3 linked regions of the Arabidopsis thaliana genome follow. The protein of the gene in region 1 interacts with the protein of each later gene in a pairwise test. Each region holds a gene or a part of one and is shown on either strand. Other genes may lie near its edges.

The links.
Region 2: the proteins of AT2G36340 (region 1) and SRS5 interact in a two-hybrid assay, tested with the Arabidopsis thaliana proteins (one large-scale study listed by BioGRID).
Region 3: the proteins of AT2G36340 (region 1) and ZFN3 interact in a two-hybrid assay, tested with the Arabidopsis thaliana proteins (one large-scale study listed by BioGRID).

What each region holds. Positions count from the first base shown.
Region 1 is NC_003071.7:15,230,977-15,242,206, forward strand, and holds AT2G36340 (DNA-binding storekeeper protein-related transcriptional regulator), read left to right. Parts: upstream 1-4,510; 5' UTR 4,511-4,881; coding exon 4,882-5,100; intron 5,101-5,189; coding exon 5,190-5,477; intron 5,478-5,564; coding exon 5,565-5,702; intron 5,703-5,826; coding exon 5,827-5,934; intron 5,935-6,021; coding exon 6,022-6,513; 3' UTR 6,514-6,928; downstream 6,929-11,230. Other genes in the region: AT2G36325 (GDSL-like Lipase/Acylhydrolase superfamily protein), read left to right, coding at 433-490, 628-855, 1,214-1,494, 1,619-1,919, 2,046-2,248; AT2G36330 (Uncharacterized protein family (UPF0497)), read left to right, coding at 2,644-3,164, 3,561-3,696, 4,128-4,322; AT2G36350 (Protein kinase superfamily protein), read left to right, coding at 7,927-9,911, 10,024-10,888. UniProt on the Arabidopsis thaliana protein: Probable transcription factor. Involved in stress responses. Plays a repressive role in cell expansion by counteracting the positive role of CPR5 in this process, but does not regulate cell proliferation or endoreduplication.
Region 2 is NC_003070.9:28,348,581-28,359,411, reverse strand, and holds SRS5 (SHI-related sequence 5), read left to right. Parts: upstream 1-5,862; 5' UTR 5,863-6,232; coding exon 6,233-6,911; intron 6,912-7,271; coding exon 7,272-7,633; 3' UTR 7,634-7,890; downstream 7,891-10,831. Other genes in the region: AT1G75530 (Forkhead-associated (FHA) domain-containing protein), read right to left, coding at 50-103; AT1G75510 (Transcription initiation factor IIF, beta subunit), read left to right, coding at 10,783-10,831. UniProt on the Arabidopsis thaliana protein: Transcription activator that binds DNA on 5'-ACTCTAC-3' and promotes auxin homeostasis-regulating gene expression (e.g. YUC genes), as well as genes affecting stamen development, cell expansion and timing of flowering.
Region 3 is NC_003076.8:5,398,472-5,409,317, forward strand, and holds ZFN3 (zinc finger nuclease 3), read left to right. Parts: upstream 1-4,597; 5' UTR 4,598-4,965; coding exon 4,966-5,023; exon of another isoform or gene 5,024-5,121; coding exon 5,122-5,282; intron 5,283-5,406; coding exon 5,407-5,469; intron 5,470-5,558; coding exon 5,559-5,678; intron 5,679-5,754; coding exon 5,755-6,222; coding exon of another isoform or gene 6,223-6,231; exon of another isoform or gene 6,232-6,305; coding exon 6,306-6,563; 3' UTR 6,564-6,702; downstream 6,703-10,846. Other genes in the region: PIN5 (Auxin efflux carrier family protein), read left to right, coding at 2,264-2,925, 3,434-3,519, 3,613-3,770, 3,925-4,001, 4,083-4,155; AT5G16550 (voltage-dependent L-type calcium channel subunit), read left to right, coding at 7,055-7,408, 7,666-7,903, 8,013-8,170; KAN (Homeodomain-like superfamily protein), read right to left, coding at 8,894-8,995, 9,095-9,203, 9,758-9,905, 10,783-10,828.

The sequences.
Region 1 (11,230 bases):
TTTTTTTTTGACAACAATGTTTTCTTTTTCTGGTCAAATAAATAAACCTTTTTTGTTCATATTAAGGTGAAAGAAAATTAGAAATTATGAACAAATGTTTTAAAAATAATATAAATATCTAGATCATATTGCATATATTTCATTTACCAATGTTAAAGATTTGTGTATATATAGAAAAGAAATCTTCAACAAAATTAAACTGCTAAGAAATTATTAAAAAAATGTAAAAGAAGGAAAAATATCTAAAACATGAAGCCAGAGAAACGAAATAGGAGTATTAATTAATTAAAGAAACAAACTCAATTAATTAATTCAATGGAAACCGCTAAATTATTAACCGTTCGCCATAATTAAAATTTAAGAGACACACACCTTAAACCTCACCTATATATTTTCCATGCAAAAAAAAAAAAGACAACAATTTCAACCATCATGAACATTACTAAACTCACTCCTTGGTTTCTTTTCTCGTGTCTGATTCTTCTATCAGGTATTATTAGTCTATAACTTTCATTTTCTTCTTCTTGATCTGTTTAATGTATGTATCGTATATCAAATTACAGCAATTAATTTGTATTAAATCAGTTTCATCGATTAATTTCTTTTTCCTTTTGATATACGTGCTAGACTACATAAAGGTAAACAGCTCAATTTCTCCATCTAGCGAGCAAACACAAGAAGATGGCTTTTTTGGTTTCAAACCTACAAAGTTGTTTGTGTTCGGAGACTCGTATGCAGACACTGGAAACACACCTTTCCTGATCGTTCCCTCGTGGAGGTTTCCCAATGGAATCACTTTCCCGGGAATACCTACCGGGCGGTTTAGTGATGGTCGTGTTTCCACTGATTATCTCGGTACGTTTGAACTATAATGTTTTGTTTGGTAATCTGTCACAATATCTGAGTCTGTAAGATTTATAATATTGTAAACAGATTGCAAAGCTCAGTGAAAAACTCTTAGATTAGATATGTCTTAGCTGTACATTTGCATTGCATCTCTTATATAATGAAACGCAAGTCAATAAATTTTGTTCATTATAATTTGTTTTAAATGTTGACCATATAAGTATTTAGTTTAACGTTTTCACTCTCTCAAAATGCAAGATATCTCTAGTTTAACGTAAATCGGTTGCCAACAGTAATTATACCCTATATATAGAAAACATATATTATGCAATAAATCTTATAGTTTGACTTATATTGTAACATGTAGCGAAGTATATTGGAGTTAGAACGCCGATCACATACAAATGGGGGAAATACGGACGACCGAGACTAGCTGTGAAAAGAGGAATGAATTTCGCATATGGTGGAGCCGGCGCGTTTGAGACAATGTTCAAATTAGTTCCTACCGCTAGTGTGCAGATTGATTCCTTTGAACAACTCCTCATGAGAAACGTTTATTCACCGGCCGATCTCAACTCTTCCGTCGCTTTCTTTAGCATCATCGGCAATGACTACCTTACTTACGACAGACGTAATGGTTCTGAAGAGGTACAATATACCTTTTCTTTTCCCACTAGGGTTGATCAAAATTGATTACTGGTTGACCATTTTTGATCCATATATTATATAAGTTAACATTTTCGATTTCTTTTGAAAATATAAAATCTGGCAGGGTCGTTCAGCACTCACAAGGAAAGTAGTGAAACAGATTTTGTTGGATGTGAAGCGAATTAAGGATTTAGGAGTAAGAAAGGTGTTAGTGGCTTTATCACCACCGCAGAAATGTTTGCCGAAGCTTGTCACTCCTAAAGGCTGCGACACCAACGACACCTCGACGTACCTCCACAACAGTCTTCTCCGCAAAGGACTGATAAAACTAAACGATAAGGAGATTAACAATAATGATAAAAGTTTCATGACGTTAGATCTCTACAATGCCTTTGTGACCATATTCAAGAACAAAGGAGTTTCAGGTACGTAAGATATATACCAACACTGTATATGACCAAACATAACCGATCACGTCTTTGATAGATTAAACAGAAATACATATACCTAAATAGATGGGATATATAATATAAATGTTTAAATTTGGGCAGGAGTTTCGACATTTCCGGATCCGTTTAAGGCATGTTGTGCAACAAAACGAGGTACCTTTTGTGGAGATAGAAGCTTGAGTGGTAAAAAGTTGTACACTCTTTGCGATGATCCAAAATCATTCTTCTTTTGGGACAATGTTCATATCAGTGATCAAGGATGGCGTTCTGTTTTTTCTCTTCTTCTTCCTGATTCACAGTTTTAAATCAACTAGATCAATATGCAATAATTCTCCATTCTAATGATATATGATGATTATCAATTGTCTTCATAACAATGCATACAAAGATTATTTCAATACCCACTTAAATAATAATTATTAGCTAGAGACTCTAGTCTAGAGTCAAAACCAAGGGCCACAAAGAACAAATCAAAGTTTTAGGTGCGAATTGTCAAAACTAAAATAGTGGGGCATTATACGAAAGAACCAAGAATACAGGGAGAAGTAGACAAAGAATCTTGCAAAGTCTTCTTTCTGTGTTTGATTCTCATCAAAGACTTCACTTTTGTTCTTTGTCGCTTCAATTCAACGCTTATTCCTAAATTCGATTTTGCGTTGTCAAATTCCTTAAATTTCGTTACAAAGGTTTGATATTTCCGATGAGATCTCCAGCAAAGACGATGCCGTCGATGTCACCTTCTTCAGTTTCCACGGAGAAATCTCCACCTCCGTCAGATACTTCAATGGCTATAGTAGCTTTCGATAACTCCACTACTCACTTCTCTTCTTCTCCATCGCCGCCACATTCTCTTGATCATTCCAGTGAATCGGAGAAGGAAGATGCGAAAAGTAAACCCGAGAGTAGAAGAAACAAGAATCCTGGAAAGGTTGAGGAAACTCCATCTCCGATTGTGGTGGTTCATAATCACAATCGCTCTGTGAAAGAAGTGGTTCCGACGAGAAAGAGTGCGAGAGTTGGTTCTGGGAGAAGTAGTGGCCAACGATCTGGAGCTGTTTCGGCTATTTTGAGAAGGTCTAGGAGAGAAGAGGTGGTAAAGTTTTCAGCTTTAGGGTTTCGGTTGAGTGAGGTTGTGTTGGCTTTGATATCTTTCTCAATTATGGCTGCTGATAAAACTAAAGGTTGGAGTGGTGATTCTTTCGATCGTTACAAGGAGTACAGGTAATTATTTGTTGTGTTTGTGCTTATTTCTTCGCAGATAGTGATGTTTCTTGAATTTAGGTTCAGGGTTTATTTTAGGGTTTAGGGTTTTATCAGTATCACTAGTGTTGGTTTTTTGATAAGAAATTTGGATTACTTTAGTTTTAGTACATGTGAATTGTCTTTAACACTTGCGTGGTCCAAGTCTATGTTTTGGTTGAACTTGGTGAAGTCCTTAAAAGAAGTAAAGTTTGTTCCTTTTGACATTGATTTTGATTTGTTGGATCGTAAGAATTCATTTGCAGTTTCCATTTTGTTGTTTTGGTCAAACATTTGAAGTCAGTTTAGTATGATTTGATTTTTGATTTTGAGACTAAACTGATTTATCTATGTGTCATCTTCTGATATCTGTGACAGGTTTTGCCTGTCTGTGAACGTGGTTGCTTTTGTATATTCTAGTTTTCAAGCATGTGACTTAGCGTACCATCTTGTCAAAGAGAAGCATTTGATCAGCCACCACCTTCGACCTCTGTTTGAGTTCATTATAGATCAGGCAAGTCATTAACACTTATGCTGTACTCTCGATGGTATTCCTTTGTTACTTTCGTTCTTGTATGAAGTATGATCTACGTGGTTGCATCTAGGTGATGAGAAAAACTTGGCTATAGATAATTCCTGATACTTTGACTTGCACCATCTGCTGGTATTTACCCTGTCTCCTGTGAATCAAAGAACAACACTTTGTGGTTAAAGTCCAATATTGTTACTCTTTTTCTTTATGCTTTAGCTTATAGCATATGTGGAAAGGGATTTATCTTATAGGTCGGAAAACATGGTGAAAGTGACTGTTATACTTGTTTGACCAAACTACTCCCTTCATTACATAATTGAAATCTCTTTCGTCCCCTGCAAAACATTTCAAAAGCATGTGTAAAAACAGATGGAATTATGAATAAGAAAGGTTTGTTTTGTTTGTGCAATCAGGTACTTGCATATCTGCTTATGTCTGCCTCAACAGCAGCAGTCACTCGCGTTGATGATTGGGTTTCAAACTGGGGAAAAGACGAGTTCACAGAGATGGCAAGTGCCTCGATTGCTATGTCCTTCCTGGCCTTCCTTGCCTTTGCTTTCAGTTCCCTCATTTCAGGCTATAACCTATTTAACCAAGGCTCTCTCTGATCCTCCCACCTTTTTGTATAGGTCCACACTCCTTGTGTGATGTATAATAAAAATGATCAATATATCTTAGCATTGTAATTATTATACTATTTTTGTAGCCTATATAAAGGTTTCCAAAAACTATGAGGTTAATAAGAGAGGCATATCCTGTTGTCAAAAGGGTCTTTATAGCCAACTAAATAAAGACTCTGACAGAGCAAAAGGCAACAACTTTTCAGCTCTTGAGCCATATGAGTGTCCTCGATTGTAAATGAGACCTCAGACTTATCCATTGTGCATCTTGAACCCTGAAGAAGGAAGAAGAAACCATCTTGCACAAGCCCAATGTTTAAAAATGGAAAAGGGTATTTTAGTCATTTACGTTTTCGACACTCGGACTTCCTAGTTCCTACGCCTGGAGAATATCAATAGCCGCCAAAGGATTGATCGTGCTTTTGCTTCGTATCGTCTCTGGGTTTTTAAATAGAGAGACTCGAGAGACTCTGTTTGACAATAGGGTTTTGAGCTTTCTGAGAGTTTTATATAACTTGACAAAGTTTTGATCTTTCATCACCGATCAATGGTTGGTACGAAGAGAGTTGCTGATTCCATCGACACCAACTCGGATGACACACTCACGAGGAACCGTGAGGTTGAAGTTGAGGCGATGCTCAGTAGGAGAAAGCAACTAAGGACAACAACGACGAGGACAACAACGACGAGGACAACACCATTGAGCTTGTCTTCCTCTGCTTCAAAGATGAACTGGTCTAAAAACGATGAGCTTGTCATTCTCGGGGTTAGTTAGTAAATTCTTTGCAGCTTCTCTATATTCTTCTTTATCCTCTTCTAACTTTTTTTACTCTATTTTGTGTGTGTGTGTAAAAGGGTATTGTGGACTATGAGAATGAAACGAAATTGAGCTATAGATCTGACTGGGATGCCTTGTACCGTTATATCAAAGATTGTGTAGAAGCAAAGTTTTCGAAGATTCAGCTCATCAATAAGGTCAAGAACATGAAGAGAAAGTTTACATACAATCAGGGGAGATCTAACCATGGGGAACAACTTTCTTTTACTAATACTGATGATGATGAAATCTTCAAATTGTCATTGATCATATGGGACAAGAATGAATCAGAGTATGTTTCTAATGAGAATATAGACCAAGCTAAGGTGAGTGTCTTTGTTCTGTTTTTCAACAATCTCTTAGACTACTAATGTGCAATGAATTAATGATCTTGTTTTCTTGATTTGCATAAGGATGTTCCTTCTGGTGAGCCAGAGACTAATGATGTGCCTTGTGAGGAGCAAGACGATAGGGATGTGCCTTGTGAGGAGCAAGAGCGAGCGAATATCGAGATTGATAATGGTGTGAGAGAGAAATTGGACCAAGCCAAGGTGAGTGTGTTAGTTCTGTTTTTTCTACCAATCTCCTTGTTACCATCTTAAAACATGATGTAAAAAATTGTGTTACTAATGATGTGCAATGAATTAATGATCTTGTTTTCTTGTTTTGAATAAGGATGTTCCTTGTGTGGAGCAAGAGAGTGAGGATGTGCCTTGTGTGGAGCAAGAGCGGGTGAGTATAGAGATTGATAATGGTGAGAAAGAGAAATTGGACCAAACCATGGTGAGTGTGTTTGTTCTGTTTCTACCGATCTTCTTATTACCACCTCAAAACATGATTTATTGATCTTGGTTTCTTGTTTTGAGTAAGGATTGTGAGGAGCAAGAGAATACGGATGTGCTTTGTGAGGAGAAAGGCGATAAGGATGTACCTTGTGAGGAGCAAGAGAATAAGGATGTGCCTTGTGAGGAGCAAGAGCGGGTGAGTATCGAGATTGATAATGGTGAGGAAGAGATGAGTAGCGAAGAAGATGGTGTGGATGAGGTAGGTGTTATGGAGGACACACTTGATTCTGGGATATCGTTTCAAGGTTTAGGTAAAAATGGTGTGAAAGACAAGAGTGAAGAAGATGATGTGGTTGAGTTGGGTGTTCTCCAGGAGATATTTAAGGAGGATACATTTTTTCAAAGTTTAGGTAGATATCAACAAAAATTGCTGCTTCAGAATTTGGAAAACGTTGGAGTTGAAAGAAGAAAAGAGCTCATCAACGAATGGAAGGCATTGTTTGTTGATGAGCAGCGATTGTGTGTCAAGAAACTAACTTTCGCCGCAAAGCTTGCAAACTTAGGAGTTTCTCCTTGATTCAATGAAGAAAAATCTCTGCTTTTGGAATGATCTCATTTTTTTTTGGTTGTGTCATATTGATAAGAAAAAACATGATGTATCCACGATCCGTTCTTGTTCTAGAGCCAGGTAACTGAGGTAAGTAACAGTTAGAGCTAACCATAGCAGATTCTCCTTTTTTTAGTGTTGTGTTTGTTTCGACTCTTCCTTTTGGGTTGGGCTTCGATAACGATTGTTCAGGCCCACTAACATTCTTTTCTTATTGTGCGTCTGTCTCTTTCGAGAAAAAGACACAAGCACTTAAAGCCAAGATTCGCATTTTGCCACATGCCACTAATTTCACCTTGTGTTAGATATTATTTTTGTACTACACACTCAACGAAGACCATAGATCAACTCAAAATATTTATTACACAACAATTATCGGAGAAGAGATTGATGTGAAATGTAATGAAGACGAAAAGAAAATAAAAAAAGAAACGACGAATTTGGACGTAATTTTCAGCCAAAACATATGCTTTGGGTCCCACACTTTCACATTTCAACTTTATCATCACACCGAAACACTAAACACCAAAATCCCCGACAAATTTAAAGAAAATTTTTCCATTTTTTTTTTTTACTCTATCTCTGTGAGAGATTCTCTTCAAGCTCAGGCCTTTAGGCTTTAGGTTTCTTTTGGGAGTCTTCTTGAGCTCTGTAATCACTCTCTAGAAGCTTATTTTGCCTCCTAATGTTATTAGGTACGTCTTTGTATCTGTACTTGCTTCTGCATTTTTCGATATTTGTTTCTTTTGATGAGATTTGGGGACTCTTCCTTCAGAAGGATTTGAAGATTTTGACATCTTCCATTAAAAGTTGAATCTTTACTTAAGCTAGTGTTCTTAGCATTCTGTTTATGTTAGCTTCATGAGATCTGGGATCTCGAGGCTGCTTTTTTTTTTTGCTTTGATTTCACATTTAATGGGTTTTGATTACATTTTCATTAGGTGAAGTGAGTTGAACTTGGCTTGTGGTTTTGATGAATTTCTTTCTATTAAAAGTTTTGGTTTCCCTACCAAAAAAATGTCTTCTTTTTGTTAATTAAAGTCTAAAAGTAGCTAATCTCTATCTGTACTTGTGTAGGGTTCATCATTTGAGTCTATAACTATAATGACTTTCACTGTTCATTTCCTTTTTAAATCTCTTGTTGTTTCCCTTTCCTTACTTTGTTCATCATTTCTCCTTCCCTTTACTCAATAGACACTGCTCTTCCTTTGGATTATTGCTCTGTGAGTTATTTAAAATAAGCCATAAGGTCTCTTCTTATGATTGTTGCAGGGTGTTGTACTGGAATTATTAGGATGAACCAAGGAAGATGAGTCTCTCGGTCTTTCAAAAACCAAGTCTTGTAATGAGGAGCTGTCCACTGTTGTAAAGTAAGTCATTAAGATGGAATCCTTTGCAGGTTCTTGTGAAATTGTTGAGGAGAAGGATGCGGTAAGGTTAGCCAAACATTCTAGCAGATATTGTATGTCACCTTTGGGATCAAGTAAAGATATGGAGCAGCGTCCTGCATTGAAGTCAGGGTACCAAGGTTCTATGGAGTATGACATTGATCAGCTTTTCCAGTCTATAACTATAAAACCATCACCTAGAAGAGTGATGGGCTCTTCTTTCCATCATCTTGAGACGAGCGCAAGTGCTGGTACGAGCAGGAGCACAAGCCCTTCAAATAAAGGCGCTATGAAAAAGCCCTTTCCCATGGGAACCCCTCGATCACCAAGAGTTGGTCCCTCTGATTCAATATCTCTGAAGCAGGCTCTGAGAGATCTTTGCATCTCCAAGGCATCAGAAATGGCTTCCCAGAAACGTTTATCAAAATCTGCAGCTGCATCTCCGAGGGTTTCTGAAGCAGACAGGATAAAGACTCTTTACAGACAAGTTTTGAATGAATCTGCTGGCAAGCCTGGGCTTCCTGTGGACAAGGGTAAAAGCTTGGTTGAAATATCTTTGACGCCGGTAGTCGATATACCCAGCTCCTCCCAGAGTGTACCTCAGCGGTATGATGTCCTTGAGACAGAGCCATCTAACTTCATTTCTGAACCATCTCAGGCTGAAATCCTTCTCCACGTACTTGGAAATGGGTCGGGAATAAAGACAGTGGGATATGGAATGCTGGAGACTGTATCACTGTGTAAATCCAACAAATCTGGATCTTGTCTCAGTTCTGGCAGTGGAGATTATGAGATAGAGATAGATGAAAATCATACATCTCCTCCTCATATGGTCATTGAAGATCAATTAGTGGAAATCGACAAACATGTTACCTCGCTGCCTTCTTGTTCTGGCAGCAAAGTTGATACTGAAGAGCTAGACAAGAGCATCGTCTCATCAGCTAGAGTGAAAAGTGAGCCAACAGCTTTGAGCTCAGGGTTAAAAGGAAAGTTGGATAACTTTCCTGGTTCAGGAACAGAGAAGAGCAAACTGGTAAGCAAGGTGACAAGAAATATCCCACGTCCCAAACCGCGGCCGAAGAAGAAGATATTGCTTAAAAAGAAGCTAAAAATCGTTGTAAATTCTGCTACAAAAATGGTTGAGGAAGTCGATACTTCCTTAGAGCCTAGTGCAAGTCAACTTCTGTGCCAGAAGTGCCACTGTGCGGTAAAGAGCACCAGCACTGAAAACCACCCGCCCTCGAATACTAGTCATACTACTGATAAAAATGTCAGTATAGAAGCAGATCAAGAATCACTCGCAAGCCCGCGTCTCATTCGCATTGTGAAGTGTAATAAAGAGGCCAGCAAGGGTTCCTCGGATTCTTGTGAGGTTAGTGATAGCGGTGAAGCTGTCATTGTCATGAAACAAGAAGTCTCTCCAAGCAATTATAGTGGAAAAGGTGATGCAGATGAACAGATAAGAGCGAATCCAACTTCCAGTGAAAAATTTGATTTCTCGTTGAGCTCAAAGAATAGCCTAGGGGACTATAGCAGCAGCACAAGCATGAGTGAGGAGAGCAATCTGAGCAGGTTTAGCTGTGGCAATAAACCTCACATGTCTATGGATGTGAGATGGGAAGCAGTTAAGCATGTAAAGTTGCAGTATGGCTCTTTAGGACTGCGACATTTCAACCTTTTGAAAAAGCTTGGTTGTGGAGATATTGGAACTGTCTATCTTGCTGAGCTGGTTGGTACAAACTGCCTGTTTGCCATCAAGGTCATGGACAACGAGTTCTTGGCCCGAAGGAAAAAGACACCAAGAGCACAGGCAGAACGGGCAATCCTTAAAATGTTGGACCATCCTTTTCTGCCTACCTTGTATGCGCAATTTACTTCAGATAATTTATCGTGTCTGGTGATGGAGTATTGTCCTGGTGGTGATCTTCATGTCCTAAGGCAGAAACAGCTCAGCAGGTGTTTCTCCGAACCCGCAACTAGGTAAGATCACATTTCACATTGTTGTTATGAATTTGTAATGCTCACAAAGTCTTTGTTGGTTAGAAAATTCAGTGGTAATAATATACAGTAAAATTGATGATATTGTTGACAGGTTCTATGTAGCAGAAATCCTCCTTGCGCTGGAGTACTTACACATGCTTGGTGTTATATACCGAGATTTGAAACCAGAGAACATTCTAGTCCGAGAAGATGGTCACATCATGCTTACAGATTTTGACCTCTCACTCAGATGTGCGGTGAACCCGACTCTTCTCAGATCAACTTCTCCACCCGAGAAAGATCCCGCAAGGATGTCCGGTCCATACAGCACATCGAATTGCATACAACCTCTATGTATTGAACCATCATGTCGGGTCCCATGTTTCAGCCCTAGGCTCTTATCAACCCAAGCAAGAAACCAAAAACCAAGAAAACCGAAAAGGCCTGATCTTTTGACACAGCAGTTCAGATCATTGCCTCAGCTTGTGGCTGAACCAACCGAAGCAAGATCAAATTCGTTTGTGGGAACGCACGAGTACTTGGCCCCGGAGATCATTAAAGGAGAAGGACATGGTGCTGCAGTAGACTGGTGGACATTTGGGGTCCTTCTCTATGAGCTTTTGTACGGGAAGACACCTTTCAAAGGTTATGACAATGAGGAGACACTGTCCAATGTTGTATACCAGAACCTCAAGTTTCCTGATAGCCCGCTCGTGAGCTTCCAGGCAAAGGAGTTGATCAGAAGGCTGCTGGTGAAGGATCCAGAGAGTCGTCTTGGGTCAGAAAAAGGAGCTGCAGAGATCAAAAGACATCCTTTCTTTGAAGGATTGAATTGGGCTCTCATCCGCTGCGCCATACCACCTGAGCTGCCAGATATCTATGACAATGGTGCCACGGAAGCGACTTCTCCTGAGGGGAATAATAGGTATCTTGAATGTAAAGCCATCGGAGATCATCTTGAGTTCGAGTTGTTTTAGAGGATAGTGAAAGACAATAAGGTCTAAAGAGACAGGAAACTTTTCTGGTTAAGCTATTATCTATTTCTAAGTCTAATAGGTAAAGTTTTGCCTCTCTTTTTTTTTTCTCGACTTTACCAGACTGATCCAGAATCTAAAATATAAATTCTTAGGTTTTGGATCTGAACTGAAATCGTAAACAATAAGAGATTGATGGCTTAGGAAACAGGCAAAATCCGAATCAACTCTATATCTAAAAGAGTTTTAGTAACAGTATCATTGATTCATGGGCATGGCTTAGGAATTAGTTGGCAGCAATAAAAGTTATAAAATCCCACCCAAGTTGGTGAACATATAGCACAA
Region 2 (10,831 bases), on another chromosome or scaffold:
GTTTATGAAATTAAAAAATCAAGATTAGGGTTTCGTGAAAAAACTAAACCTCGAGTGATTTTCTGAGAAGATAATCATCTTCAGGTAACCACTGAAACGCCATCAGAGACGCAGATTTAAGCTTTTCACCGATTAACGAAAGAAGAAGCTTCTATTAAGTCGAGTAAATAAAATAGATTTAGAAAGGAAATATTTACCAGAGAATCGGCCACAGAATCTTTACTTCTCTAAAATTAGCGTTTTTTTAGCCAATTAAAATCTCTTAGTCTTCTCCTATTACGGTTTAATTAAGTCAAATTTCTTTTGAAAGTTAATGGGCTTCAATCTTGGTCCATTATGATATTTATTACCACTGACGCACAAAATTGGGCTGTCGGAGGCCGAGTCCGTAATGGATTTCAAACAATTATTGTATGTACTATTGATGCAAAATAATAATTTAGTGTTTAAGAACAACTACTAATTAAATTTCTATAGATCAAATATGCCAACCCACTTATTTATTCTGAAACTAGAGTGTAGTGCTAAAGATTCTTGAATAGTGTACCACTAATAATAAAAGCTATCGCAAGTTTAGAAAATAAACGTATTTATACATGTGAGCTATATAATATGAAGATATATAAATAAGAATGGTGGTGGTCACGTGACAAGGAGTCTTTGTAACCTTCGTGGAGACCACAACGCTGTCTTTTCTTCGGCCGGTCTTCTCCTTAAAAGGCATATATAGGCCTATTATATTATACGTTTATATATACATACTTAAATGCTTATTGAACATTAGTATTTATATATACACATTTGATACTTAGCTAGAGCTTAATGTGAAGCATGTGCATGGATGTGAGTTCGGACCCCACGGGCTTTATGAGGCCCATAAAGCTAATGGAGGGGGACCACGTGGCAAGGGGCTAGTGCCTACAAGTGGAGGGATCCTAAGAAAGTAAAGTACGTATAAGTTTGATCTCGTGATCGTACGTACTGTTTCTACTATTGGCATGCAGTGTTCGTCGCCTAGGGTTTCAGAATTAGACTTCCTTATTATACCTAACTTGTCATGTATTCCACCACAGTTACAATCACTGAATCACATCACCTTATGTTTTTTTTGTTTTTTTTGTTTTTTTTATTGTTTCATACACATATACGATGGGGAAAATCAAATAAAGTTGGTGAATGCACGCGATTTCAATATGTAACGTGTTCGTAGTCGGAGGATAGTACAACCATTGTAAATCCCATAAATTAGTATGTCCAATGTATTGATCGCGTGTATATTGTATAATGCGTTTATATTATATTGGATAAAGTTTATGCTCAACTCAACGCAGTAAATCGAATATCTTAGCTTTAGGAAGACACTTTGCGTCACTTCCTTCCTTTTTCTTCAACAAGACAAAACCCGTTTCTCGCGGAAAGAGCATAGTTATAACTTAGCTTTAAGCAAAATGATGGTCACAAAGGCATAATTGGGAATTTATCATTTTTCCTAATTTTTAGTAATCCCCTCTATATATTATTTCTTCTTTAAGAAGTATTTTTGATTACTAAAAACGTGTTGACGTGGCACAACCATGTTAATTTTCAGACCTTAAAAAACATGACAATGATTTGTGAAATTACAATATTTTTATAAGAAAACAACAAAATTGTAAATAAAAAGCATACATTTGGTTTGAGTTAAATATCGTCTCTAAGTTTAAAAAGAACATTTTTTTCTTTTGGTCAAACAACTTTAAACGAACATTTTATCAATCACTTGTATTTAGGTTTAAGTATAAATCCTCAAATTTTGATCACAGTGACTTTGCATCGGTTGATTTTTATTACCCTCACACTAAAAATGAATTGTTACAAATTTTGTCTGCTTGAATCGTTTTCGACAAATTTTATTGGTATTGAATCCAAACATAAGTTAAAAAGCCTGGAACTTAAAAGAATTTTAAACACAGCGTATATATAATAGATATAATCATTGAGAAGATTGTCGGGAAAATACTGTTAGTGAGGAGAATGATTGACTACCATATAAAAAGATACTAGTACTATATAGGAGAGAGAGAGAGAGGAGATGCAGCGAGAAGAAAGGTGAGCACAAGGCTCGAGAGTGAAAGACAACAACTAAATAATAATTGGACTATTGGAGCTAATCCTTATTCTTGATTTTTCCCCTACGATGACCTTTGCTCCTCACTCTCTGTCTGACTTGTGGGAGGTGACAAAATCTAGTAATAGAAAGAATCATAATTATAACAACCGAGAACACCTCGGCTAAAAAAGGAAAAAAAAATAGATCACCTCTGATAACCATGCCAATGAACACCAATGCCCACAATCTGATATTAAATAGTATTTCGTCATTGTGATCTATGGCTGAATAATGCTGGGCATTGCTTCGGCATTAGCTAAACCTTTATTGGCTTTACTGTGAATTGAAGCTAACTCTCGGAAAAATATACACATTTTTATAAATTAAAAAAGAAACATTAGATGTATCCTTTAAAATGGAATGATAGTGTTTGTGGTGTTTTTAGAAAAAAAATAAGAGTGTTGGATGACAATGTTAATCATTTGAACATGTTGGATAACTTCATTGCCTACGCATGACTACAATAGCATTTTTTGTTGTTTGTAAATTGAGTTAAAATAACATAAATTAAGATAATAAGATATAATTGGGAAACATGCATCTATATCAAACGTGAATTAGCTATGCCTGTCTCCTTAGAGAAATATCAACCGCCAAAAAGTAAATCAGTGGTAGCTATTAACCCCGTCAAAATGTCAAAAAATGAAAAGGAAAAAAAACTTAATAATGTTAGCCAAAGGAAAACTAAAGTAAAGAACAAAGACAAAAGGGACATTAGCCAACTAGTTTAATCATGAAGATCCCGATTCATCAAAGTTAGGAGTGTTAAGTAATTACATTTACAAATAAAGACAAAATAGTGATTTAGTCAACAAGAAATTCTAAAATACAAAAGACTCATGCCTCGGGCCCTTAAATAAGATCAAGTCCATTTTTTGGGTGGGTAACTAATACGTACGATCAACCTTTCTATAGATACACGCATATATAATTGTTGTTTACTAAAGCTTAACAAATTTAAGTCGTATTATGTTAAGAAAATTCTCCTTTTTTCTAGACACAGATGTTTGGGATGGGATTGGGCTTTCTTTTCTCTCTCTCTCTTTTTTTTTTTTTTCTTTTTTTCCTTTTTTTGATTGAACAGATTTTTGTTTTTGTTTTTATTTTTTGTCCTACAAACGCATTTCAATAATGATTTTTCTTTGACATCTAATATTGTCTGAAAACTATAAATTGTTTTCTTTTTGATATTTTTACGTATTGTTTCCGATGCATATCGTTTTTGATAACCATATTTTATGGAGCGAACCCAAATTAATGGTTGATGATATAGGTGATTGGCAAAGTGAACACAAAAACATGTAAAGACTTTGAAACAAATTGAATACTTTAAATTTAAATTCACATTTGAGTGATTTGAGAGAGTTAAAAATCTCTAAGAACTATTCCAAGAAAACTCACATTGCCTTCATTTTGTACGTTTGTTTCTCTAAATCCAATAAGTATGCCTTTTTTATAAAGCGACAAAAATACTTCACAGCCAAGATTTTAAAGTACTTGCTTGGTTCATAAAGAAGCATTTGCTCACCAAAAACAATTAAATACGCAAATCCTTACAACATGCATAACTCATTTTTTTTTTTTTTTTGTCAATCGCACATCTCATCTTCAAGGATTAGCTAGTAATATAGGTAAGAGACTTTATCTTGAGAAATTGGTTGTGTATTAATTGGCTCGTCGATACCGAAGATTTGATCAAATCTAGCTATGAGAATTGGAGAAGTAAAATCTTACTCTCGTGACCTGCTTATTATGAATATGCATGAGAAGTCGTCAACGATTGGCAATACAAGGTGGAATAGACTCGTAAATTTTGAAATAAATATAATTCACAAGTTAAATTTGAGATCATGCGATGGCAAAAATTAGGATATGAAAATTGGTAATCAGTTTTGAAGTAATGCGAGTGTTATTAAGAGTTTAAGGTATGTGGGTTGGTCGTCGATTACAAATATGAAATATCTTTAAATATTTTTCAAACTTTGAATAGACCATATACTTATATACTGTACATGCACAACATTTAGGATAAAGAAAAGGCGAACCATCAGAGATATAAACTTTAAAATTAAATACCAAATGCGCCTAATTATGATTATAAAATGCAAATTGCGCCGCTAATTCCCGCGATTCCACGTGATCAAAGAAACTAGAGTGGGTCTGCCTGCTTCGGCTCTAATGAGGGTACAAGGTATGACTGAATAAGTAAATCCTTTAGTGATTTAAATTTTAAATTCGCAGATTTATGTACGACCAATTACGTGATAGTATAAAATATTTAATTAGTTGGTATAATTAATAGTAGCTAGTTTAAGATAAACCACTAACGGTTTTTATGTACTCTTAACTATTCTCATGTTTATGCAATTATGTGTGTGTACATATTTATAGTTTTAATTTGTAAAACGAGCAAAATAAGCTAAATAACCCTCATATCCCGTTTAGTTATATATTTTTCCAAAATTTGAAACTATATAGTACTGTATTAACGTGAAAGCTAAGTTTTCTACTTCGATTGGAATAAGCTAAAAACCTTTAAAAAAAAAAAAAAAAAAAAAAAAAAAAAAAAGCTAAAAACCTGAATACAGAAATAATACATTATATTCATGTATTAGTTTGGGTAAAGATGGAAGACGATCACATCCCTTCGTCGGCTAATAATAATGACTCGTGACCTAGAACTAGACTAGGGATCGCTGTCCAGCAAAAATCCCTTAAAACAAACCACATAGTTTTTTTTTTGTTTTTTTTTCACACACCACATAGTTTTCTTATAGTTCATATTCAAAAAGTGTTTAAGTTTCTACGATCGCCCTCTTCATGTCGATTCAATGTTAATACCACGTATTTCTGATTAGACGAATAAATAACAAAATTATCAAAAAAGGAAAAATTAACGCACGAAGGCGTCGTTGAAAAAGTTATGTCATTGAAAGTCTAATCGCCGTGATTAAGCGGTAAACCTCACGATGAGACCGTCCGTGACGATAAAATGTCAAAGGAATGTGACGTTAGACTATCCTTTTCATTTTTTCTCAGATTTCATTTTTTTTTTCCTTTTTCTTTATTTCAGACTTTTATCTTTGCCTTTTTTGTTTTCTCAAACTTCCCATATATAATTTCATCACAAAATAGATAAACCGAAGTAAAAAGATAAACGGTGGGGAGGGTTTTGCGGGGGAGGGACGAGTGGAGAAAAACTCCCTGTTCTAACACGTGGCACTCTATTCACCATTGATAAAAATTAACACTATGAGCTTAAAAAGCGAGCTATTTTCTATTTTCTAGTTTAGTTTTAAAAGAAACAACATTTTCGCTAAGAAATTTCTTTTAATTAACACATCTTAAATTTTTAAAATCTACTAAAACGAAAACGAGTCATTATTAAATTCGATACGTTGGTTCGGCGTAATATATTTTATACTCCTTCATGCATATTGTTTTGAATCCTAAAACCATCGATTAGATATATAATTTGCATCTGTGGACAAAAAAATGACTTCCTACATAGTAAAGAAAACAACGCGTCATTTAATTTTTATCATCTTACATGTATTAATTAGATTGTAATAAGGGATTATGAAAATACCTATGAAAAATGTAGAGAATAAGCATATATACATATTAATGGAATGGAATGATTACTCTAACAAAATTACTTAAAAAATGTCACCTATCTATTTATCCATATTCCTTTTTTTTTCTTTTTTTTTCAACAATAGTTTGAGTGATATTTATGTGATGGGGATTCACTCAAACTGGAAGATAACTGTAGTGAAGTGCCCAAAGCAAAAGATCTTCATGGGACTCTCTATGTCTTAAAAACTTTTTTTCTCTCTCTCTCTCTCTTAATCCACCGAGTAAATCCAGCAAACTTCCACTTTCAGAGATCAAACTTGAGTTATCTTAAGTGATGAAGAAAGACTAATTCCATGGCGGCGTTTGCAGTTTCTTAAGCTTCCTCATCATCTACCGTCAATCTTTATAGCAAAGAAAAGGAAATCAAATCAAGATTTACCCTTTTCTTTGATTTCTCTTTGTGGTGTGTTGGGTGTGTGATGTTGATTACCACTGGGGAAAGAAATGGCAGGGTTCTTCTATCTAGGAGGGAGAGACAACAACAGCAACAACAACAAGCAAGATCATCATCAAGTAGACAAGGATCATCATCATCAAGACAAGAGCAATTATCTTTATCTTTACAAAGACGAGATCTATAATAACAACAAGGGTTTCGAGATTTGGCCTCCGCAATACTTCCAACAACAAGAACATCAACAACAACAACAACAGCAACAACATGCCTCAGCTCCTGCAAACTTCTACTCATTTGGAATGGTTCCTAGCGGAAGCAGCAGCAACAACAACAATAACCGTAGCCGGAGTTTATACTTCAACGTAGTCTCCGATCATGAGCCGGGAGGGTTCACGGTGACGAGACAAGGAGGTATGAATTGTCAAGATTGTGGAAATCAAGCTAAGAAAGATTGTCCTCATATGAGATGTAGAACTTGTTGTAAAAGCCGAGGCTTTCATTGTCAAACTCACGTTAAGAGCACTTGGGTTCCTGCTGCTAAACGTCGTGAGCGTTTAGCCCAACTCGCTTCCTTGCAGCACCACTCAGCCTCCAGCCGTGAAACGCAAAACGCCAAACGCCTTCGAGAAGCTAGTGGTGGTGATAATAATGATGATAAAGACCATAGTGGTGGTGGTGGATCGGCTCTTGCTAATACCCGTGTGGTGAATGCTAATTCTAATTCAGGTAAAATTCTTGATGATATTGAATTAGCTTTCAAGATTGATTAAATTTTCATGAAAAAGTGTCAAAGTTTTAATTATGAATGTTTGTGGAGAAGTACAACATCATTTGCGTGTGAATGAGGATGTCCGCCGGATATTGCTGCTTTATTTATACAAGTTACTGTTCCTTAGTAAACCTGACGACATAAAAGGATCTAACCAAGATCGATTTCATGTAAAAACAATGCAATAAAGATTCGTTTTTGTAGATATGAAATGGGAGCTACGCTTTATAATCAACAACATGTTATACTAAAAGGGGCTAAAAACAAATCTCATGTTTATATTTTGGTGATCTTATAATCATTAATAAAAAAATTAGGGTTGGAGGTGAGTCAACACTTACCACCGGAGGTTAACTCACCGGCGATATTCCGGTGCGTTAGAGTGAGCTCAATAGAAGAGGATGAAGATGATCAAGCATATGCTTACCAAACGGCTGTGAACATTGGAGGCCATATCTTCAAAGGCATTCTCTATGACCAAGGACCAGAACATCAAGATAATCATCACCTTAACCTACTTGCTTCCACTGCAACCACCACCAATGTGGAGGAGACCGCCACTAAGACTGTCACCGGTAACAATAATAATGGATTAATGCTTGATCCTTCTTCGCTTTACCCAGCTCAACTCAACTCCTTCATCGCGGGTACGCCATTCTTCACACCTCCGAGGTCTTGATCAGATTCTGATATCAGTTATTGATTATTGTTAATCTTTAAACGTTATAATAATAAGAGGATTTCTTTTGTTTTTGTTTTTGTTTTCGTTTATCTATTTTTGAAACTTCGTGCAATTTGGAAAAAACACCCTTACCTAGGTTGTTACTTAGTGGTGATTAACATGCATATTGTACGTACTTTTAAGAAAAGAAGATAGTGTTCATGTTTCAAAGATTAATCTTTTGCTTTATTTTTGTTCATTAGGATCGATCTCTGTGTTGCAATTTAAATGTGGTTTAGTTATAGTCTTATGATATTAATTAATATATAATATAACCCTCTTTTTATTGATTTACGACATATATAATTATATATAGTACTTTTCAAGGTCAAATCAAAAATACTTATTTTAGAAAAGAAAGAATAATAAAAATCTTTTGGTTTGATATTGAAATAGCTTTCTGGTTGGTGTTGAGCTCCAAGCTACCTTTTTCCCCGTTTATCCGTTTGCTTGCCGGATCTAAACATGACTTAACTAGGTTTCGTGTTCCACTGATCAAAGATTTGAAAAAAAACATATACTTAGTAAACTTCAAGCAATTTTTATATTACCCAATTGAATTTCTCCAGAGTGAAAGATGTTAAAATTAGTTCTCAATTGTAATATATATATACCCAACAACTGAGAAAAGATGGAAAAAGTTTAGTTAAAAACTGGTCCTGGGCGGCTTTAAATTATATTTATGCACTTAAATTTAGCTTGTTTATATCTTTCTCTGGTTTGAGTCATAGTTGAATAATCCAAAAATCTACATAAATATTTTGAAAAAGACCTCTAGTCTCATGGACAGGTTTTTACTTAGATAATATCGTGTCATTCCATCTAGATTCAACCCCTGTCTACAATAATATAGGAGGTTAACGTTAGTTATGTGGAGAACGTCAGATTGTGAGTAAATACGTAACATGTGAAATGTTGGCGTAGATGAATGTAAACGGATGGTAATATAAAGTATTTATATCAAACTACTTCCCTGCAGAATTATCATATTTTTAGCTATTTAATTATTACTTGCATGGATCATGGATGTGACTATCAGTCGTCTGTAGCTAATCCCCATTTACTAATTCTGTCTTACAGAATAAAAACTGGTCGATGCAGTATATATATATATACAAATGACTGATTAAGACATATGATGAAACTAAAATTGATTTCGTTTTTCTAATGAGATGATATAATAATTTGTTTTATCTATGTGTGAACTGATACTGTTAACAATAATAATGATTAGCTAGTACTATTAACAGTACTGTTATAGATTGCTTGATTTAGGACAAGTATAAATGACAGAGGAGATAGATGGAAGTTTCTCAAAAACTGTAGAGTGTCTGACTCACGGCATGTGATCTCTTCTTCAGTCTCTCTCGATCAAAATTATTATAAAAATTAAATGTAGTTGATCCAAAAACTCATGATCATATCTCCTCTGATATTTTACTTAATCTATCTAACTTCTTGTTTCGCAAAAACCCTACAGCCTCATGGTATTAAACCTATATATGGGTTTTTTTTGGAACTATATAGAACTTCTCTCTAGCCATAACTTATTATAACTAATGTGAATTATATATTTGATATTTTTTTTCTTCTTTATTACGTACCGATGACGTGCATGTGGTTCCAATGGTAAGTACTCAGTCATCCTCACAGGTCAAATGTTTGGCATTGTCATTAATTGCCATTAAAATACACGGTAGGTTAAGTTTGAAATAATAGTTTTTTCTGAGATAGTTAGCAAGTAAATTGTTAATTAAATATGCTGGAGAAAGGGAAATTAAATTGTTGAGAAGCATGAAGATCGTCCAAGACACATCATTTGTGAAATTGTAAAGTCTATGGTCAAAGTGAAAGACTAATTCCGAACAAAGATTTTCCTCAACATCTGTTATACTTATACCTAACTCGATTATGATTGATATGACAGTTTCTTTTCTTTTACCTCAATTTCCTTTACAAAAATCATTAAATCTTCCAACGCGTCATTAGATAGTGACCATGTGAACGGAATTCGTAAATGGGGATAAATAACAGTTTTTCACAAATCACAACCCAACTTCAGTTTTTCCCTGAGATGATTTGGCTCCACGTAAATCTTTCTCTGTCCATTTGAGATGATTTTTATTCAAAAGATTCATGGCTAGTTCGAACATTTTTCGAAGTATACCTCTGAAAATAGTTATTAATATATGATGTTACTATTTGATGCTCTGTATTGAAAAAATAAAAATCAAATCTAGATAATGTGTTACGTACTGATAATTAAGATATACATACACAACAACGTACACTGAAGCTAACTGAGTAAATCTTTTATTTATAAGAAGTGTAGAGCTAAAAGTTAAAACTATATCCAACAAACATAAAATCTAAATACAACGGCCATAAACCTAGCTACAACTACAGTTACAGCTATAACCAAAAGGAGAAAAGATGAGAGATTGGTCCCCCTTTGTACATTGAAGCAACTGAGTGAAACTAGTGGTTAGGGTTTTCTCATGGATTTAGTTAAGTTCTTTCTAAGAATTAATTCATTGTCGTTGTCCTAATCGCCAATCCATTTCCATCCTCGGTATTTTGTTTCCTTTTTTGTCAACAACAACCTTGGTGTTCTCTTTACTCTTTATCAGCACAATAGTGGTCCAAAAGTCCAAACAATATGTATGTGATCCATTTAAATTTAATACATTTATACATGCACCATACATCCATGATCCATGCATGCTCTACATGTGTTTATGTATGCAGTATGGACATACATATACCCCTATTAATCATGTCATCTATACTTTAGAAAATAAAACAATTCAAAATGTGGCAACAAGAAATATATGTTTTTGCGAATAACAAACGGCCCATTAAAGAAACTGGATTCTTACAATAATATGGGCCTTGGCCTATTTGTTTTAACGCCCAAGTCGGTCCACGTATATAGTAACGGGTCGGGTCATATGAGATGGGATTCCTTTTTTTTCACCTCCGCTTCAAAGTAAGAAGACTTAGGTTTTAAGTCAAAACGAAATCGGAAGATCAGACAGAGCTCAAGAGAAGTAAAGAAACTGCGACAAGAGAAAGAAGATTGACTTTGGAGAAGAGAGAGAGTAACGATGGAAGATATTCATAATCTCGATATAGAGAAAAGTGATAGATCGATTT
Region 3 (10,846 bases), on another chromosome or scaffold:
AAAATCAAAACATCCTCTCCTTTATGTATAACTTTGTTTCTTCTGATTTGATTTGTAACATTAACATGATTACATTTATATATAGTATATAATACGTAACCATGCATTTAACTTGGTACTTGGATTCGTTTATGAAAGATTGAAAGGAAAACGAAAGTTATATGATCACTACTCTTGAATTCGAACTCTAATTTAGGAAGAACAGTATAAACCCCAACATATAGTGTTTTCTGGTCTGAAAAACTTTGATTGTTTTGTTTTTGTGGTTTGGGAAAAAACATCAACATAATATTCATGACGTCAAAAGTACAAAACAAATAAGATGGATTTTGAATAAACTTTCCAATCGTGCTAGCTAGCTATTTCTGACATAATTCAAGAAGAATAATGAAAATATGTCACACAAAAACAAAAGTATTAACGATGAATGAATGAATGAGAGAAGACAAAAACCTTTTTGATATTAAAAAGACTGTAATATATATCAACACATCAGGAGAGAAATTTGAAAGCATATTATAGATTTGTAATCATCAAGTGATAAATAGAACTTATTCTACTAGCATTATTATTCATATTTATATATGATCCCTCAATTTCACCAGTGAATAAGCATCCTCCACGTTTTCACAGATTTCTAATCCACCGATTTTAACTTTTGTTCCATCAGTCAAATCCCCCTTTTTGTTTTTGTTTTAGTCCGACTATATATATTTGTTTGCTTATGTTTTTCTATTTGTTCCAAATCTTTGGTAAAGATAGGTGTTTCCATAAAATGTTATTATCAAATCAAATGATAAATAAATGCTTTCCAGATCATTTTATGCCTCTGCATGATTCTCTAGTAATTAGATCAAATCAATTTTCTCATCATGAATATGTGTAATAGAAAAGACTTTGTGAATGGACAATATATATGGTTACAAAACAAAAATATACCATAGAATTAAAAAGTGCTAATATGATGATATTGCACCTAGCAATATGTGTTGTTGTGATTATATTAGAGTCCAGAAGGCAAATAATAAATTTGTTGTCTAGCAAGAAAGGACAAGAGCACGAGGTACAAATTTTTCTGTAAACTTTTGTAGTTCTTGAATGGCTTCCTCAATCCTCACGATGATAGATTTTTCGCTAGCTCGTAGTATAATATGGTTCTTTGATATTTTAACAAAGAAGAAAGACATGGCCATATGATTTTTTATCGAACGAAACATAAAAAACAACGTAAAACATGGTTTAAGATAAAAGTAAGTAAGTTATTTGTAGACTTCTCTATCTATCTATATATTAACATATTCTAAAACCCATGACATGTTATTTCTTAAACCATGAATATATTGAAACATTCAAATCATCACTAGGTATAAGTAAGTGAAATTCATTTTCTTATAAGAAATCTCTCTTTGTCGGTTATGAAATTGGTTGCTATCGCCAGGTCGTAGGGCACAAATACCCATTTCGGCATATATACAAACTATTCCATGCACTTTACTTATATTACATGCACTAGCATAGTTCTGCTCCCATTTTATGAAAGTGGTTAATAAATATAAATATTAAGATTAAGAAAAAAACGATTAAGCAAATATTTCGAATAAATTATTGAAAATATATTATTTGGTTAGTCTCATGTGTTGTGGCGACGAGTTACGACAGCCAAAAACATATATTGGTCGAGACGATCTTCTAGTTATGGTGCTAAAGCTGCAACCTCATTCTTTATTCTGCGACATTACCATTAATTAATATAGTCAAATATTGAAAGAAATGTTTACGTCATACACAAACACTACACTCACTATTTACAGGAAACAATTGGAATAGAATCATATGCCACGGCACGGTCTGGTCAATTATATTGATAACGATAACTCTCTTGTTTCTCAATTAAACTAATGGCTAAAAATATGAGGTTGATTTTAATTTTTTTATCTAAATATTTAGACTCAAATTTCAATTGTATCTATTCTATAGGAATTTAGCCAAATTATTTATAAATATTCGTAATCATATTCCGAAGAAAAAAATATTATTGTTTAATTTATATCTAAACTTTACTTTTGTTTGAATATTACTCATGGATATCTCATTACCTATCTTTTTTCTACAACAAATAAAACAATTAAAAATTTATCTATAAATATGAACATGTTGGTTTCTCTATCGTAACACATTTACTATCTACGAACGAATTTAGAAGCTTTGTTTTCTTTCCTTTCGTTTGCTACTACTGCAACATTTCTATTTTTCTGATAAAACCATGATAAATTGTGGAGATGTTTACAAGGTAATCGAAGCAATGGTTCCACTCTATGTAGCCTTAATCTTAGGCTATGGCTCTGTGAAATGGTGGCACATCTTCACGCGTGATCAATGTGATGCTATAAACCGTCTCGTTTGCTATTTCACCCTGCCGCTCTTCACCATTGAGTTCACGGCCCATGTCGACCCGTTCAACATGAATTACCGGTTCATCGCGGCCGATGTCCTCTCTAAGGTCATCATAGTCACGGTCTTAGCGTTGTGGGCCAAATATAGCAACAAAGGAAGCTATTGTTGGTCCATTACTAGTTTCTCTCTATGCACTCTTACTAACTCTCTTGTCGTTGGTGTGCCATTGGCTAAGGCAATGTACGGACAACAGGCTGTTGATCTGGTGGTTCAATCCTCGGTATTTCAAGCCATCGTGTGGCTCACACTCTTGTTGTTTGTCTTAGAGTTTAGAAAAGCCGGATTTAGTAGTAATAATATCAGCGACGTACAAGTAGACAACATCAATATCGAAAGTGGAAAAAGAGAAACTGTGGTTGTGGGAGAGAAGTCGTTCCTTGAGGTCATGTCCCTCGTTTGGTTGAAGCTTGCAACGAATCCAAATTGCTATTCTTGCATCCTTGGGATCGCATGGGCTTTTATTTCTAACAGGTAAAAATGAATCTTTAATTAAACTTTATATTGGTACCTATAAGATGTTTAACAAAGTGTTAATTAGTATGTGTGATCAGGGACTCAGGAGACTACATTAATTCCACCCCTTACTCCGAGGCAACCGTTAAAATTGCCTAAAAATATCTATAGTTTGACGTTTAAACCATCTAAATTATTACTTTTCTGTGTAGCGCCTGATGATCTATAGTTAAAATTTTGACAGAAATATAGGTCACGATTGTTTCTTTGCATTTGCGTTTATATTTCCATGTGACAAATGACTAGGACATTTTTAACATGGTAACATAATTTGCAAACGTGACATGTACATGCAAATAAACTAATCATGATTTTAATCTGAATATTAGAGTCTTTGACCAAATTTCTATTTTATTTGTTTTAGTGTGAATTTTGGGTTTAGGGTTTTGATTAGTGTTTTGTATACTCTTGGCTAACAAATAAAGACTTAAGTCTAATAATTGATGGAAATTAATTGGAAATATAGATGGCATCTGGAGCTGCCGGGCATATTAGAGGGTTCGATTCTTATAATGTCAAAAGCAGGAACAGGAACGGCCATGTTCAATATGGGTACGTTTATTTATGTCCATGCAAGTATCTTTCTATACGTAAAGATTACGTATCAGTATTGAGATAACAGTGAATACATGCATATATACGCAGGAATATTCATGGCACTTCAAGAAAAGTTGATAGTATGTGGAACAAGCTTGACTGTGATGGGAATGGTATTGAAGTTTATTGCCGGACCGGCGGCCATGGCCATCGGCTCTATTGTCCTTGGCCTCCACGGTGATGTCCTCCGCGTAGCCATCATTCAGGTCATAAATTCTACTTTATCCTTTTGTACCCTAATTCTACTGAAGTTTGTATATAAAAAAAAAAGTAGATCATTTTCCATTCATTCATCCACTAAGATACTAACTTTATATTTTTCAGTTTAATATATCATTAATATTTATATGAAATTTACAGGCTGCTTTGCCACAATCGATTACTTCGTTCATTTTTGCTAAGGAATATGGATTACATGCAGATGTTCTAAGCACAGCGTAAGTCCAAATTTTAAAAATTCAGTCTATTTAAGAAGAAAATGGTAATATGAAATTAAATTAAAATTTTGATAAATGTAGGGTGATATTTGGGATGTTGGTCTCTCTACCTGTGCTCGTCGCCTACTACGCAGCTCTGGAGTTTATTCATTGATTAAACTAATAAATTCGATTATATCATCAATATTACCCTTTGTTCATCTTTCACAAGTTTTTTTTTTTGTTATCTCTTTTACACTTTCCTCCTAAAGGAGATTTTGAAGTATATTCGAGATATGAAAACCATTAACTGAATGAATTAACCTAGTTTATGCTTAATTTTATACTTTCTTAAGCTCTCTTTATTTTCGTAGTATGCATAATTTAGTATTTTGTTCACATATACGTATCAAGAAAAGATAAAAACTCTATAAATGAAAATACATCATGTTCGGATCTAAAATTGTTTTAATACGTACACTAAATATTATAAGCCCTTTTTTTGTTAACAAAAAAAAAAAAAGAATAAATGAAACGAAATTCAGGTTAGAGATCAAATAAAATCTTGTTATTATTTGATTCATGATCATACATACTAACCAAATCAGGATTTATGAAATAAATTATTCTTTCTCCTCAACCGAATCAATATGAAGATAAAAGGGGTAATTTAGTCTTTTCGAATTCGTTTTTCTTACCGAATCTCTTTAGTTTTTTTTCTTTCTTTTGTGTGGAGGAGAGAAGAGAACGCAACACTTTCTTCCCAATCTCTCTCTGCTTTCTCTCTCTAGACGTGATCTCTAATTCTCTAATGTCTTCCTGCATTGCCATTTCCTCTAACCCCTCCACAATCGGAGGAAGACGATTCCTGGGAGCAAGAGAAACGATGGGACTTCCCATCGGAAAATCTCTTAGAGTGAGAGAATTATGGTGTGTTCTTAATGCTTAATAATCACCGACACAGCCATTGTTCTTCATCATCTCCATGGATTTTGATTCCATTTCTCGGGAAAGCACTTTTCTTTCCCCATTGCTTAACCAAAGTACCATCCTTTATTCCCTCTCTGATGTTCTGATTCAATCTTAAAAACCTCAGCTTGAATTTTTGTTGTGGGGTTTTGGTTGGGTTTGTGAATTTTAGATGCAATGTGGCAAATGAACTTGGGATCAGATGATACAATGGGTGTTGATGGGTCTTATCCGGAACGTCACGGAGAGCCAGATTGTGCTTATTATATAAGGACTGGACTTTGTAGGTTTGGTTCAACTTGCCGATTCAATCATCCTCACGACCGGAAACTGGTACTGACTCTGTTTCTGTGTTTGTTCTTTCCTCTGTATCTTGTTGACTCAAAGTTTGTAGCTTTGAGGGTCTGTGTGTGTGTGTGATTACAAGCTGATGAATAGTCTCGTATCCAATTTCTAGGTTATAGCAACTGCAAGGATTAAAGGAGAATACCCTGAAAGAATTGGTCAGCCTGAATGTGAGGTAGCTCTGTTTCGAATTACTATCATAGTAATGTCTTCTAGTTATCACATTGTCTCAAAGCTTCTATTTTTGTTGTTGTGTCTGTGCAGTTTTATCTGAAGACAGGGACCTGCAAATTCGGAGTGACTTGCAAGTTTCATCATCCTAGGAACAAAGCTGGTATTGATGGAAGTGTATCAGTTAATGTCTTAAGCTATCCTCTACGTCCGGTATGTATACATTTCAACTTTCTAATCTCACCACTGCTTTGTAAAATTTTGCCTCTCTCATGAGTTCTGTTTGCAGAACGAAGATGATTGCTCTTACTTTTTGAGAATTGGACAATGTAAATTTGGGGGAACTTGTAAATTCAATCACCCTCAGACTCAATCAACCAACTTGATGGTTTCTGTTCGTGGCTCTCCGGTTTACTCTGCTCTTCAATCTCTAACTGGTCAACCGTCTTATTCTTGGTCGAGAACATCTTTTGTTGCAAACCCTCCTCGTTTGCAAGATCCTTCTGGTTTCGCTTCAGGATCTCAAGGAGGTCTCTTCTCATCCGGGTTTCATTCGGGAAATTCTGTTCCGCTCGGGTTCTATGCATTACCTAGAGAGAATGTATTCCCGGAAAGACCAGGCCAACCTGAATGCCAATTCTACATGAAGACAGGAGATTGCAAATTTGGAACAGTCTGCAAATTTCATCATCCTAGAGACAGGCAAACCCCTCCTCCTGATTGTGTCTTAAGCTCGGTTGGCCTTCCTTTACGCCCGGTAAGCTAATAAAAGACTTCAGATTCTTTCCTTTATAGTCTCATTATGTGGTTTGGTAAATTCTTGTTGCTGGTTTGAAACAGGGAGAACCACTGTGCGTGTTCTATTCTCGGTATGGGATCTGCAAGTTTGGTCCAAGCTGTAAATTTGATCACCCGATGCGAGTCTTCACTTACAACAACAATACTGCATCTCCTTCTCCTTCATCATCTCTGCATCAAGAGACTGCAATCACCACAGAGCTCAGGAATCTCCTAGTCTCTTCTTCTGTGGAAGCAAAACCCACATCACTCCCTGAAACAACCTCTGCTAAAGACACCATTGTTGATGCACAGCACTGAAAACCCTGTGTTTTGTCTATCTTGAAACAATATGTAACATTTGTTTTGCTTTATCTTGTAAGCATTTATGTACAGAGATGATATCTGATCTAATCTGATTCGCCTTTTGTTGTAATTTTCTATTGGCAACAGTTTGTGCATTAAAAAAAAAAACAGTTTGGTCTTAAACGGGCCTTCAAAAAACGTCTAACAAGCCCAATAATAAAACCATAATGAAAAGAAGAAGAAAAAAGAATTAACCACTCGCATGTGTAACGCGTTGAATACACACGCTCGTTGTATCTATCTATCTACTCCTCCGGTTAACGGGGGTTTAAAGCCACGTCGGTGCTACACATGTCCCTGATTTCTCCTTTAACATAAAACTAAACAGCTGTTTTGTCCGCAATCATTATCTATTACTAATAAAAAATCTCAACTTTTGTTCCTTACTCTTATTACTTCCTAAATCCGATCGAAACAACTGTTGGGTTAGTTTCTAATTTCCAAGAATGGCGCAAGATCACGACGAGACGGAGAATAAAACCTTTGCCGACGTTGTCGGTGGCGATGATGTCGGCGAAATTGTCAACGGAGGAACAAAGAATGGCTATCGTAAACCGGACTCTGTGGAGAAGGAAGATGATGAGGATTTGAAGAGTCTCTATTCCTTGATTTGTCTCACGATCGGTTCGATTCTGTTTCCAGATTCGAAAACCGGTGATGCGTCTTCGTTTCTTGAACGTGTAAGAAACTCCGTCGCTGAAAATGGGCCTAAGCTTCGAGAAGCTTCTGAAAGAACAGGACGCGAGATTCTTCTCTGGACTCGTAGAGGCAGCTCGCTTCGTGCTCTGCTTGTCATCACTGTAAGTAGAATGATTGAACCTAATTAGAGACTGAATTTCATTTTCAATCTAGCCTTCCATTATCTTCAATTCGATTTCCTCAAGTAAATTAACGTATTGTGCCCTAAATCGTCTTGGTTCTGTAACTCTTTACCATTGATGAAAAGTTTGGTACTTTATTGAAAAGTTTAGTGCTTTATTGAACCCATTTGAGCCAAATTTCGTGGGTGTCTGAGACTATATGTTGATTAGTTATTATCTTGTTATTGTTGTTGCAGATGGGAACAATAGTTCTTTTGACAACAATGGCTTTGGTTGTATTCACACTCTTCTTTGTAGCTGCAACAGCCAATGCTATCATAATCTCTCTTCTGATTTCACTTGCTGTTGCTGGTGGCTTCTTGGCACTCTTCTTTCTCTGCTTGACTGGTGTTTACATTGGAGCCTTATCCGTTGCTGCATTCGTCATCTCTACCGCTACAGTTTCTGCTGTCGTTTCTGTCTTAATAGCTTCAGGTTGGTTATATACTCTGCTCTGATTCTGTTTTGGAATCTTGTAATGAGTGACACTCCAAGTTACTTCCTATATGTATTGAAGAATGAAATGAATTTGGTATTGGATCAGGTTGGATTGGGTTTTTCTATGCGGTGTGGTTGGGAACAAGAGGAAGCCTACGCTTGGCTAAGCAATCGGTTTCAGTGGTGGGATCAGCCATTTCAGGTAACACTATCAGTCGTCATCAACACCAAGACCGGGAGGTAAACATCGAATCAACCAACTGAGAATCCGTCCTTACCGCGTTTGTAAATAAACCCCGACTTTTGGTTGTTAATGGAAGCTTGATATAAATATGATCTATGGAGTTTGTTGTGAAGAAGCAGAGAAAGAATGATAAGAATATTTCAAAATGCAACTTGAAACATTTTGTGATCAATGTCTACGGATTTTTGGATCTATGTATGCATACATTGTGTGTTTTATGTACTTAAGAAAGAATAATGATCAGTATCCATATGAAATCTCAACTCAGATCTCTCCCTCTCTCTACATTTCGGCTGCAAAAAAAAAAAAAAAAACTTGAAACCCTCTAGCCAACCAAGAGGCTTTCAAAAAAATATCCAAACTTTCACCACATTTTGATGATCTTCCAATTATATAACTTATGATCACACCACCAGATCAACCTCAAAAAACTAAAAACCCGAAAACCCAAAAACAAAAACTCATACATTGATCATCCACTTTATAATCAAATCATCAATGGAACTTGAGAAGAGGAACCTCCAAATTTCTTCATTTTGGTAGTGATATTCTCTCTCTCTGTGCAAAAATCAACACTCTTGAGCAGCTTGGCTCTCTACGTGTTCTCCTTCTTTTACGCTGAGAATTTCATCGTCACAAAGATATATACTGCATACATGTTTCTGAGTATATATAGAGAGAGAAAGATGAAACAAAAAAATAAAAAATCCAATATATATAAAAATCCAAATTGATCAAGAAAGTCATTTCTCGTGCCAATCTGGTCTGCCTAATGTAAACTCCAAACTTGGATTTTCACAACTAAGATTTCCACACCTCTTTGCTTGATCATTCGACCTTTGCTCCTGCCAATTTTAACTTTATATTAGATTAAAGGACAAAAAAAACACTAAGAAAGGCAATATCTATCTATACAAATATGATTAGATGGGAATTATCAGAACCTGATTTTGAATGCTGGATCTTTGATAATGAGAGATCATTGATGTTGATGAAGTTCTGATCATTGTATCTATGTCGCTTGAGCAGTTATTACTTAATGGCCATGTCTCTCTATTTTATGATTTAAGAAAAGAAAGAAAACAAATTAAGGACAAATTGTATTTATTGATGTATAGATGCCCTAAAAATAAAATAAAAATCACTACACACAAATTGCGTTTTTTTGCAACTTGCTATATGACCACAATCTACATGTCATACTTATGAAGCAAAATTCGTTTATCCTAGTCTTCCTAGATGAATCTTAAGAACCCAAACCAAATTATAATTAAAAAAAAAAACTTGGTACATATAATTAAAGTTCATCAGCCATAAACCCTAACCAATTTCATCTCATTGTAACCAAAACCATCACTCAAATTTTTTCCCCTTAAACTGAACGAAAACAAACTTAAAATATCATCTAAAAACTATTTTTGTTAGAAGAAAATGGATAGATGTGGGATAAACCAAACAATTGTCGTATGAATTACTTGGTAGGAAGTAGGAACAATTAGGTGAGAGAACCCTAAACCCTATCTCAAATTTCGTCAATCTTATTCTTACCTAATGTTTATATATACTTATCGTGTGTATAATACATGTACGTATATACGTAAACGTACCGTGAAGAGTTACTCCAACGAGGTTGTGTGGAAGAAATGTCAGTTTCTTGATGAAGAGAAGTATCATCAGATTGTGCCCTTTGATCCGTCGATGATTGATGATGAACTTCGTTTCCATTTATGCCCATTTCTTCTTCTCCTGACCCATCTGAAATTTTATTTTAACTTTTTATCAAGTTTCGTTGTCTCAAATCAATCACTTATACCCTATAAGGAATCTCATTTAAAACTGAACGATTCTTGTAAGCTTTTTTGTAAAAGACAATGCAGTGAAGAAATTGTTTTTCTTAAAAAATAATTTCAGCATTTCGTGTTGACCAACCTAATATGTGTCTCAAAAAATAGTTTTACAGACTCGAAAATTGTGCCAAATAAACTTTTAATTGGTTAAAGAAAATCCATATGAAACAAGTGGTTTTTCTTTATTCTTAATTCATGAACTTTGCTTGGATATGAGTTTACACTTCACACGTTTTAAATTTAATCTTTTACTCGATTTTTTTTTCTTAGAGAACATCAATATTGGGGATATATGTTTGTTTGGTTTGCTTTGAACTTTGACCACTCAACTTTAGGGTTCAATCAAAGGAAGGATAAAAGCCTTGAGCTTGACCAATATCTTAGGGCTCGTTTTTTATTATTTTGGGGAAAGGGAATAGTAGAAATAGTAGAATCAAATAGTAAAAATAACAGAAATAATTTCACGTCATTATATCTCTACATACATACAAATATCGAATCACAGCTTCAAATTCTGATTGAGAACTAATTTCTTATAAATATTGTAGTCAAAAAAAGCTATAATAGTGATTATATTGGACCTCCATTTCTATAAAATTCTGGTGGAGAATCCTAAGCTTTATTGTATATCTGTCTTATGTTATTTTTTGGTGAATTGTATATCTTTCTTATTAAAAGCCAGTACCATTTCTTTAGCATATATAAAGCTGAAAAAAGCTATACTAAAGAAATGTGAATATGCATAACATTATATGTGTGTGTGTGTGTAAAGGAATCACACGTACCTGATGAAGCAGCAGGCTTGTTAGTGGTCTTAACAGTTCGATACATCTGCAAAAAAAAAAAAAT